Linked DNA regions of Pelodiscus sinensis. The protein of the gene in region 2 binds, or shares a complex with, the protein of the main gene of each other region. Links are inferred from orthologs where the notes say so. Each region holds a gene or a part of one and is shown on either strand. Other genes may lie near its edges.

Evidence for each region.
Region 1: MCM2 (region 2) and CDC45 share a complex: the UniProt entries of both Homo sapiens proteins name them as parts of the CMG helicase complex. The link is inferred for Pelodiscus sinensis from reciprocal best matches to the Homo sapiens genes MCM2 and CDC45.
Region 3: the proteins of MCM2 (region 2) and DNAJC9 are in contact, whole or in part, in a crystal structure (PDB 7CJ0), measured with the Homo sapiens proteins. The link is inferred for Pelodiscus sinensis from reciprocal best matches to the Homo sapiens genes MCM2 and DNAJC9. Residues at the interface, in NP_004517.2 of Homo sapiens: Glu65, Glu66, Glu67, Asp68, Glu104; in NP_056005.1 of Homo sapiens: Lys185, Arg189, Arg192, Lys244.

The regions. Positions count from the first base shown.
Region 1 is NC_134725.1:17,712,448-17,716,193, reverse strand, and holds the start of CDC45 (cell division control protein 45 homolog), read right to left. Parts: upstream 2,930-3,746; 5' UTR 2,614-2,929; coding exon 2,563-2,613; intron 1-2,562. Other genes in the region: UFD1 (ubiquitin recognition factor in ER-associated degradation protein 1), read left to right, coding at 3,489-3,491. UniProt on the Homo sapiens protein: Required for initiation of chromosomal DNA replication. Core component of CDC45-MCM-GINS (CMG) helicase, the molecular machine that unwinds template DNA during replication, and around which the replisome is built.
Region 2 is NC_134721.1:24,313,089-24,316,834, reverse strand, and holds the start of MCM2 (DNA replication licensing factor MCM2), read right to left. Parts: upstream 2,659-3,746; 5' UTR 2,508-2,658; coding exon 2,502-2,507; intron 1,830-2,501; coding exon 1,645-1,829; intron 876-1,644; coding exon 700-875; intron 1-699. UniProt on the Homo sapiens protein: Acts as a component of the MCM2-7 complex (MCM complex) which is the replicative helicase essential for 'once per cell cycle' DNA replication initiation and elongation in eukaryotic cells.
Region 3 is NC_134718.1:33,557,077-33,560,822, reverse strand, and holds the start of DNAJC9 (dnaJ homolog subfamily C member 9), read left to right. Parts: upstream 1-1,174; 5' UTR 1,175-1,421; coding exon 1,422-1,601; intron 1,602-1,883; coding exon 1,884-2,024; intron 2,025-3,746.

The DNA.
Region 1 (3,746 bases), on a different chromosome or scaffold from region 2:
AAGCCCCAGGCAGAGTTGCTCTGCCCCGGGCTTCCTGGAATCAGCTGCTGATCAGTTTCAGCAGCAGCTGACTTGGGGATGCCTGGGGTTCTTAAGTTGATTCTGTATGTAAGTCAGAACTGGCGGTCAGTTTCAGCAGTGTCTGAATCTGGACGCCAGTTCTGACTTACATACAGATTCAACTTAAGAACAAACCTACAGTCCCTATCTTGTACGTAACCCGGGGACTGCCTGTATAGCGATTTTCAAAAAAAGTTATAGCAATATCATGTTTTTGCAACATGTTTTTCCAATAAAGATTTAACAAGAAGCTCTAAATAACTCATAAGAAAGTGATTTCTTCTGTGAAAAGGCATGCCAGTTTCCTAATGGGATCCTTCTGTTATCAAGCAGCAGCTTTGACATCTGATGTCTTGACCCTTTGATGAAGTTCAATAAATCTGTTCTTCCTTATCTTAAAATCTGTATTTCAAAATGTAAAGGGTAAAATGACAACATTTTCAGCATTCATATGTCTGAAATTATGTTAAGCATTTATCAAAAGCTGGCAATCGTATAACTGATGTAAATTAATTTTATTACAGGATTTTTCTTTAAAATTTTTGCAATCAAATAAGTGATCTCTCATTCTAACTTTATATAACCCTATATTCTGAAACCAAAAGAACAACTCTTGACAGTGCTTGGTATATATTAATTAGTGTCATTTGATAGTTTTTGGCCATGTCTACACAACAAAATTAGGTTACCATACAGACAATTGCAGTTTTAAAATTGCTCGTTGATGCATACACTAGGGATGTTCCTGGCCAGCCGGATAACTGTTCACTTGATAAATACTGCTTACTGGTTAACAGTCCCAGTTAACCTCAACAAATCTCACCCCACTCCATGCTCTGCCTTTAAAACTCAGACTGGCAAGCTGGCTCAGTCCCAGCCCATCAGTTCAAGTTTTATATGAAGAGCATGCAGGGGAGCTGCCCGCCACCCTGTGCTGCTGCCTCTATATCAAAGGCAGGAGCAGCCCCTTTCTACTGTGGGCCCAAGCTCCCCACAGACAGAAGCTGCTGCCATGGAAGCAGCAGTGGAGAGGCAGGCTGTATGAGAAGCCACATTGAAGGGCAGCAGGAAGTCTGTACAGGGAGCTCATTTTTAAACCAGCTCCCCTGGTGGACCAACTCCCACCAATCACACCACACTGCTGTCTCTGAAACAGACACAGCAGCATAGAGTGGCAGGTGAGAGTCGGATCATGAGAACAGCTGATTAAAAATTGGAGGCAGCAGCTGCAAGGTGGCAGGGGACTTCCCAGGAGTGGGCCAGAGTATACTGACTGCCGGCCCTGCCCCTGGGGACATCAAATAATCATGTAACGGCTAAGAATTGTTGCAGTTACACAATTAGTAAAATAAAGGATTTCTAACATCCCTAGCACACACGTAGCTCCTTGTATCAGTGGTGGGCATCATCGCCTGGAGAACTTGTATATCAATGTGGGGCATCACTGGACAGCTTCTGAAAGCCATAAGTTGCTGTATGCAATGCAGTGACACTGTGTTGATTTAATTACATCAACAGTGATGGAGATGGTAATACAAAATAAGCACAGAGAAGCATTTATATGACCAATGCTGGAAGCCAAATTTAAATAAAGACCTACAGCAAGATTGACATAAGCGGCTTATGTCAAGATAACCCTGTAATTGATTTTTACATCAAGACAGCTAGCTTGATGTAAAACTCAATATAAAATCCTAGCGGCCACAAGGCACCTAGTAGCTTTTACTTCCACATAGCTCCCTATCTGGGATTTCTCTCAACAAGCTACACCCAGGTAGATGTCACCGCTCCTTGTCCTCACCAAAATGCTCTTTGTCCATTTCACAATTCAAAACATTCCAAAACCTTGTTGCTGATTCTGAGACATTTTGCGTCTCAGCTCTGAGTGCACTCCAAAGAATCCAGGCAATAAAGCAAAGCACACTCTGAGCGGTGATGTACCCAGGTGAGGACTCCACTTGACCACTACGGGCAACCGAGCCAGAACTTGAATGCAAACCCTCCCTGCTCAGTCGAGTTCGATCTGAAACCAGCATCTGGCACCAGCAGCCGGTGGGAGAGAGAGGAGCAGGGTGCAGGGCTCTGGAGGGGGAAGAGGAGGGGAACCCAGCGCCTATCATGAGGCTGAAAGCAGGGCAATGCATAGGCCCCGGCTCGGTATGGCGGCTCCCTAAGTGACACGGTCCCGCCCTATCAGGACCCTGCGGAGCGCGGATCCAGCCCGACCCACGGGGCGTTGCGCGGAGAAAGGCGCAAGACCCTCCAGAGTCTAGCTAGGAGCCCTCCCATCGCGAGCGACCCCTCTACCCTCAAAGCACCTGCTGGCGGGGAGCGGGGAGAGAGACAGGAGCTGGAGCAGGGCGGCCCGGCGGTTGCTGGAACCCGCTACCTCACTGGGCCAGGAGTTAGTAGGCCCCGTTCAGGATGCGGGTTCGCTCCCCCTGGGCTTGTCTCCGCTCCGGTTCGGGCTTCATACTCCCCCCCGCCCCGGACGCCGCTTACCTGAGTCACTATCACCTCGTAGAACTCCTTACGGAAGTCGGAGAGGAACATTGCCGAGACCGGGCCGCTACCGCCGCGCTGCAAGGCGGGAGAGCGGCGACTGCTGGTGTTGCTCCCTCCGTTCGGATCTCCTCAGTCTCACTCAAAGCAGGCGCCAAATCGCGCCAATTCCCATTGGTCTCAGCGTCCTGGCCACGCCCCAATAACATTCCAGTACTTTGTATCTCTACAGCTCTGATTGGACTATCCATCCGATCGTCTCAGCCCTCCACCAACCACATTGCGATTGTGGCGATCGAGGAGCCGAGCGATTGGCCAATCGCCACGAAGCGCTCCTGAAACCGCCATTTTGTGTGTCCGTCTACATCGCCCATCATCGTCGCCATTGTTGACATGGGCAAGATTCCTCACCAGCCCCTCTATTAGATATAAACAAGCCATAAGCTCTAAAATATAACTGTTTCAGGAGTGAATAGGAAAAATCGTTTGTTTAACAAAAAACGATGTTGACGCCTGTGAAGCAACTTCCGCCTTTTCTCCAAGGGGCTGCACCGGAAGTCTCTTGGCTTTCTCAATAAGGGGCTATTGATAAGCCGTTGCATTCTGGGAAATGTAGTTTAGTGGGAACAGTGGACCAAACCTCCCAAATGTTTTTCGCGCCTTTGAGACCTATGAGGGCGTTCGGTTTCTGCTGATCGCGTTCACCGCTGGTAGGATAGCCCCCACGCCTGTCGAAACTGAAAGTCACTCTTAGAGCAAAGGGGCAGGGCCCAGTGATTTCCTCCTCCCTGCTTCCCTTTCCCTCAGCAGAGGATTTCCTGTGGGGGGAGGAGCAGCCGTCGCTGCATTGATCCTGCCCAGACGAGAAGGCGCTTCTCTGGGATCCCCTGCCGAGAGCTGTATAAGCAAGAAGACGGCGCGACAGGATGGTAAAAGCCTTTCCGGGGGTTTGTGGGGGTGCCTAAGAACGGGGGGCGCAGGGGGACGGGACGGAGAAAGCTGCGGAGTCATCGCGCGTGCATTGTTGTGCCCGGGCAGGGGAGGCGCTAGGGGAGCCTGTCCAGCAACAAACACGTCACTGCTCTGCGAGGGGGTCGGAGTTTGTCCCTTTGGGCCCAACGCATTGAGGGAGCCGCCTCAGGGAGCCTGTCTGGGACATAAGTAAACAACCCTCCTCTTCGCCC
Region 2 (3,746 bases):
ATTTATGCTATTACTTATCACCTTCTAAGTGTGTGCAAATTGATTGCATAATTATTTGCTCCATTATGTTTCTAGATACTGAAGTTAAGGTGATTGATGGTCTGTAATTCCCCAAATTGTGTTTATTCCCCATGCCAATCCAAGATTTGGTCTACTGCAAACCCCAAGCTATAGGTACCAAAAGCAAGTTGCACTGGCTTTTCAGACATTATGGAGGCAAATGCAAGAGCTTCATGTGGGCCCCAAAAACTGTACACAGAGGGTGACATCAAAACCTGCGTCCAGAGCAAGAAGAAAGGAGGACTGTACTGGACTGGATCTCAGGGTTAATGATATCTATGGTCCCTTTAGAGAAAGGGGCCAACAATCTTCGTAACAAGAGTGCAGCAGTCTGTCCAGCACTTACCGAGCACAAGCCCAAATCCTTATATGGATCTTGGAGTCATGACTCGGCAGCAGCTGCATAGTCAAGGGCACCAGGCTAATATGCCAGAGCTCTTAATGTGCTCACCGCATAGAGATTGTGTATGGGGGACATTCAGGTGAGCCCACTGCCGCAGAGACCCCTCAATAGCTACTATTCAGCAGACTTTGGAGCGCCTACAGTGGGCAGGCTATTCGGGCTGAGCTCTTCCCAGTGGGAGAGAGACTAGCCTCTACTGCAACGAGACAATCGCATCTAAAATATCATTGACATACCGTAAAGCAGCCCTCTCCTCATGCGACCCAGGCCCCGGTCCAGCTCACGGTCCCTCTGTCTCATTGCTTGTTCTGCTGCCTCCCTCTGGCTGGCAGTCAGTTCCTCCACATCCTCATCATCCAAGGCCAGCCCCTCAGCTTCATAGATATCCAGCTCTGGAATCGGGCGGTAGTCCCTAGGCACACACAGATCTAGTTTAATCAGTTTTGCGGTGCAACCAAATTACAGTGTTTCTCCAGACTCTTTACTCTCTGGGGCAAGGTGGCATGAGGAAGATCAAGCAAAACAGAGAGGAATTTTACAGTCTCTTGTTACCAGTGGCAGACACTCCAATACAATGACAATAGATACCAATATACAAACCTAGACTAAGTCTCTGTAACATACAGCTCAATGGTTTGCTATTGGACCCGGGGTAAGTGATGGGTTTTTTAAACCCAGTTACAAAGGTTCCACTGTTTGTAGAACAAGCAGGATTGTGAGTTTCGAGCTCCCCTGTGTGAGGGGCTAGCACTGATCTGAGCCAGACACAGTCTGGTCAGGAATTATACACGTTCACCTTCACAACTCACCAACCGTTCCTCTCTGACTTGCTATCCTAGCTATGGGCATCTGTCCATAGCCCTCACCAGTGCTGTGTATCCCCTTTGCTCTTCCCATCTCATGCTTCTCTTCAGCTGACACACCGCATGGAATGGACTATGCCCTCCTAAGAGGCACTTGAGAAACACCCATACAGCGTGAATGTGCTGATCTACAAAGTATATTCTGAAAGGTGCACAAAAGAGGACCAGGCTGAAGACAACAAGTTCTCTCCCTAACGGCCCTCAAAAGAACCTGAAACCTGTGTCCAGAGGTATTGCCCCCTTTGCGAACATGCTTCCTGCATGGAACAGCCCCAGGAAGCATCTCGCGTCGCTGCCTGACTGCTGCATGCTCCCTACCTTTCCATCCCATCCCCAATCAGCTCTTCCCCATCCTCCTCCTCTTCAGGGAGCCCCTCAGTCCCCAGTAGCCCCTCTGATTCATCCTCAAAAGGAGGCAGGTCTCTGCCTGGGCTGGAAGTGAAGGTATCTCGCCGAGAGCTACGGACAGGGCTGGTGGCCACATTCTGGGACTCGGAGGAATCCTGCAGGAAAGGCAGAGTCGTGTTAGAGGCTGGCAGAAAAAGACTTTCCCATAGAGCATGCACAGGTCTAACTCATCCCCTCCAGGGACCACGGAACTGGATAAAGTGGAAGGGATGTTTAATGCTTGATTGGTCTACGCTCCCAGCAGACCCCACAGTGCCAGAGTAGGTCTGAGAAGGGACAAGCCATCTCCACCAGGGAAGTTAAAATAAGCTCAATAATTAACCTATTGTGCACATATAGACACAAAATGCAGGACAATGTAGCACTTTAAAGACTAACAAGATGGTTTATTAGATGATGAGCTTTCGTGGGCCAGACCCACTTCCTCAGATCAAATAGTGGAAGAAAATAGTCACAACCATATATACCAAAGGATACAATTAAAAAAAATGAACAAATATGAAAACACCTTCTTTAAAAGTCCCCTCCCCCATACAGAGTTAACGGGGGGGGAGGGGGGAGTTTTTCCATGCAAAGTGGCTCCCACCTCCACAGAAAGCCCAAGACATGTGGGGGGGGGTTGTGTGCCCAGGGTCCCCCCCCCATGCAGAGCCCAGGGCACGGGGGTGGGTTGTGTGCTCAGGGACCCCTCCCCCATGCAGAGCCCGGGGGGAGGGTTTCGTGCTTAGGGTCCCCTCCTCCATCCCCAGCCGGACCCCGCCGCTCACCGCCATCCCCGCTGCCGCTACAGCTTCCGCCAACTCAACTCCCGGGCGCGAAACAATCCCACGTGGTCGGCAAAAGCCCGCGAAACCTCATGAATAATTAACGAGCCGCTCATGAATATTCAGCAGCGTGTTGTGAGTCGGCGCGAGATTCGGGAAGGTGCCGGGACGCTGCGGGGCTGGTGCTGAGGCTGGGTACAGGCTGACTGGAGGGGGCTACACAACATAAGCAGAGACCGCGGGAATGTTGCAGTGCGCTGGGGTCAGCACAGGCTGGCATCTTATTCCAGGCCCAGCACAGCTGGGTAGGGTGAGCAAGTGGCATTTCCCACGGAGACAAACCAATGCCCGCACTCTTTAAAGTGTCAACAACCATAGGCGCTGGAACAACCTCCCCCCCACACCTCCCCGGTTTGAAGTGATTTTCATTATCTAGAGGGTCCCCTCTTGGCACCCTCACTATAAAAATTGTCCCAGCACCCAACCAGTTTTTACAAGATCCCAACTTCAGGCACATTGTGCCTGGTTTTCAGAAATGACCTAATCAAATCCATGAGTGCTACAGGTGCTTAGCGCCTCTGAAAATCAGGCCCATTGGACAGTTTGGGGCAGCTACCCCAGGCCTCATGCTTTGGGGGGCCTACAGAGACCAAAGCAGCCTAGGAGATTGTCAGAAGGCCTGGGACTAGCAGCAAGGATTGCGCCCACCCCACACTAACCAATGGCGTCGGGAGCTGCAGGAAGCAGAGAGACACAACAGCCTGTTTTGTGCTCTGCCATCTACGGGTGGGTTGCTCCTGGATGGTGGGGGGAGGTTGTTCCAGGGCCTATGGTTGGGCACTTGTTGACACTTTAAAAAGTGCGGGCATTGGTTTGTCTCCTTGGGAAATGCCACTTGCTCACCCTATCCAGCTGTGCTGGGCCTGGAATAAGATGCCACCATGTGCTGACACCAGAGCACTGCAACATTACATTCCCTGGCAGTGGGAAGCGGAGTGACCCAGCAGCCTGCTTTGCTTTTCCAAGCAACATGGCTGGGAATTAGGCTAGGGCTGGGTTGTTCAACTTCCCGCTGCCATGGGGAGTGCAGGAGGGCCCGACCTTTGCTGCCAGTGCCAGGCCCCCACTAATCCTCTGGGCAACATCTCTTGGGGAGGGACCTTGCAGGAAGGGTAGGAATGGAATGGGGGCAGGGTGGGGCTGAACAGGGACAGAAAGAGATGGGGTAAGCGTATGGGGTAGACCCAG
Region 3 (3,746 bases), on a different chromosome or scaffold from region 2:
CTAAGGATAGAATATCAACCCCTTTAGCATCACATCAGGGAACTGAGGTCAGCATCCACCAACAGTTCTTCCTGAAACCCACTGAACAATGGTGAAGTGCTGCTATTACACAGCTCCACCAGATAGGTGGCTGCATGTCAGCAGTGAGTATCCCTGCCTGTTTAGGATCTCTGCTTCAACAACTTGCCTAACCCACCAAAAGGCCAGCTGCTTCTCTGCACCAGGTGAGAGATTCCTATATAGTCAGTCGTAGTGTCAATTCTAACAGTCCCTGGCTATCTTGTAGCCTGTGAAGTTAGAGTTCTGCTGTGGCACAGATGTTGGGAGCTGTCACATTGGATTTTAAGGGTAGCAGATCACTGCTGTGCCCACGGGGGTTAGGGTGGGGGGGGAAGGTGTTTTCCCCAAAGTCTATTACAAAGGGGGCCATGTGAGGTGTCAAATGAAAGCATGTGTTCTACTGATTCTATGTATGCTATTCATGTACTTGTGATATCTTTATGTGGAGTTATGAATATGGACTGTGCTTATACTGTGAATGTTCTCTCAGAGCAATGGGCTCTGTTCTGCCTGTTGTACAGAGAACTGGAGTGTCTAAGGGGTTTTGCTCATGATTCTTCTGGCTGGCAGGATTGGCAGCTGAAATTCTCGTGTGTCTGGTTTGTGGCCTATTTAGGAAAGGTTGCCAGTCGGGGGCTGTAAGGAGCCCTGGTTTTGAGCAATTCGCCCTGAGCAGACGCCCTCTCCGGTACCCAGATGTGGGGGTCTGTCACAGGAGCCAACATCTCTGGCAAGATAAATGAACTGGACAGTCATGGGAGTGAGGAGCCCAGGAGCTACTTGCTGACCAATAGGGAGAATTAAATTGTACTTAATTTATCAACCCTCATTTTAAATAAACATGGGAAAGTTAATGTTTCACCCGTTTCATAATCTGAAGTAACAAATTCTCCCTGATTGCAGCACTCGCACCTGACCTGGGTGTAAATGTCATTCATGGCGAGGTTTCCATTAGCATTTGTTTCAGCTCGACCAGACTCACACGGCTCCATCTCTAGCACTAGTCCTAGCTAGGGACCGAGTGAGAACTGCACCCTGGCTCGGCAGCGTGTACCGAGCATGCGCAGTACCAGCCTCGGAGCAGCGCGCGTCAGGCAGCGGCCCCAATGCGAGCTCACAGTGGTCTGGGCGGGCGTCTCGCGCGGGACGGGAAGTCCCAGGGGCGAGCAGCCTCTGCCGGCGGCCAGCCGGAGACCCCGTGGGGACTGGGCCGTAGCGGCGCCGGTTAAGGGCTGCGGAATTCAGTTGCTCTCCCCGCCTCAGCTGCGCGTCTTTGCGGCGGTTCTAGCCCCAGCCGTAAATCAGCGCGCGTCCCCAACGTAACGCGCGCGCGCCAAACCGGGCCCGCGACGCGCGAAGGGATGGGGCTGCTGGAGCAGTGCGAGGCGGCGTTCGGCGCCGCCGACCTCTACCAAGTGCTGGGCGTCAGGCGGGAGGCCTCGGGGGACGAGATCCGCCGCGGCTACCACCGGGTCTCGCTGCGGGTCCATCCCGACCGCGCGGCCCCGGGCCGCAAGGAGGAGGCGACGCGGCACTTCCAGGTGAGCCCGTGGGGGTGAAGGGGGCAAAGACGCGCCCCCAGACCGGCACCCCTGGCTGCCGCCCCCCGGGGGAGGGCTCTGTGGGGAGACTCTATTGGCTGCCCCGTGCCGTGAGGTAGCGGCTTTGGGCCATTGTCCTGGCCCGCGGGCCACGGCTGCTAGCGAGCCTGCATCCCGCGCTGCCTGGGCTGCTTCCGTGGGGCAGGGAGACTGAGCACAAGACGTGGGGCCGGGCCGCTGCTCGGGAGCAGGCGCCGCGGAGAGTGACAGTTGTTTGCTCAGCTCCTAGGCAAGGCCTACGCGGTGCTGAGTGACCAGGCGCAGCGGGCGCTGTATGACGAGCAGGGGGTGGTAGATGAGGAGTCAGATGCGCTGAGCCTGGACCGCAACTGGGAGGAATACTGGAGATTGCTCTTCAAGAAGGTAGGTGCTCCCAGAGCCAAGGGCTAGTGACCTAGGGGGGGTCTTAGTATTGCTACTTTTGGGGAGGGGGTCCCATATCTAGTTCTCCTAGGAGTGTGGATGTGTCGATAATTGATAGATAATGATGGATGCTTGCTCTAAAATGCTGCTGCCTTGGTTAGTAAGAGAACTTCTTCTTTCCAGCTATCTATTGTATCTGTGTTGTACTGTCCTAGGCAGTTGCTAATTCTGTTGTTTTCCAACTCTTCTAGCCCAGACCAACTGCACACCATTTGTGGCAATGACATTCAGCCCATCTAGTCCAGGAGAGTTGGCAACCCTAGCCCCTCACTGCCCCAGAGCATGTGGGCAAGACTTACCAGGCAGACACCTGGGAAAGAATTCTGTTGTAACTCAGAGTAGTATAGTATATTTCCGATAATCCGGCACCTTTAGGACCCAGGGGGTGCCAGATTATCAGATATGCCAGACTATCGGAAGGGGTGGCTATGAGGGGTCTGGTCCCAGACTCCTCATAGCCCCCCCTTCCGATAGTCTGGCTCTGCCCCAGGTGTCCCTGATTCAGCTGCTGCTGGTCAGTTTCAGCAGCGGCTGAATCCGGGACGCCTGCAGCAGAGCAGCTGGAGTGCTGCCGGGTTCGTCTGGTAGCGCCGACCCTTGGCGCGGCGAGACCAACCCGGCAGCACCCCAGCTGCTCTTGGGGATGCCTGGGGCAGAGCAGCTGGGGTGCTGCCGGGTTGGTCCCGCAGCACCGCCCCTCGGCGCTACTGAACCAACCCGGCAGCACCCCAGTTGCTCCGCCCCAGGTGTCCCCCAAGTCAGCCGCTGGTCAGTTTCAACAGCAGCTGAATCGGCATGCCTGGGACAGAGCAGCTGGGGTGCTGCGGGGGTGGTCCCCGCAGCGCCACATCTCGGTGCTGTGGGGACCAACCTGGCAGCACCCCAGCTGCTCTGCCCCAGGTGTACCCAAGTCAGCCACTGCTGAAACTGATCAGCGGCTGATTCCAGGAAGCCAGAGCAGAGCTGCTCTACCTCGGGCTTCCTGGAGTCAGCCGCTGGTCAGTTTTAGCAGTGGCTGAATTGGGGAAGCTGGGGGCAGAGCAGCTCCAATGGTCCGGCTGCTCGGAGCACTTCCGGGTTCCTGATGGTGCCGGACCATCAGGGATGCCGGACCATCGGAGTTTTACTGTATGTAAGCAACTAGTCGAATCATTACTTGCTTCTCCTTCCCCTTGCTGCCTCTGTAACAGAGGCAGGAAGGGGGTAAGACTGTGTTTACTGAGACTAGGGATGGCAAAAAACAGCTGTTAATATAACGATTAAAAATCTTAGTGGTTACACACTGTGGGCTCTGCAGGATAAGCTTTATACTGCAGAGTCTACAGCACAGGGTGACAGCTGGCTCCCCGAGAACAGGGCTGGGAGCCAGAGTTGGTGGGAATCAGCTTAAGTGCACCAGCTGCTGGCCCTGCTCACAGAGAGCTGGTTGCTGCCCCGTGCTGCAGGTTTTGATAAGGAGCCTGCAGCCTGGGGCAGAAGCTAGCTCCCCAGGAGCTGGTGTGTAACCGTAACAGAAATGGATAAACTGAAGCTTATTGGTTAACTGTTTAAATGGGTACACACTTGTATCGCTAACTCGGACACAGTAAAGAGACTTATGTAAGGTCTTATTCCAGAGATGCAACTCCATTGTGGGGCCTTAACAGTTCTTACACTTTTTTT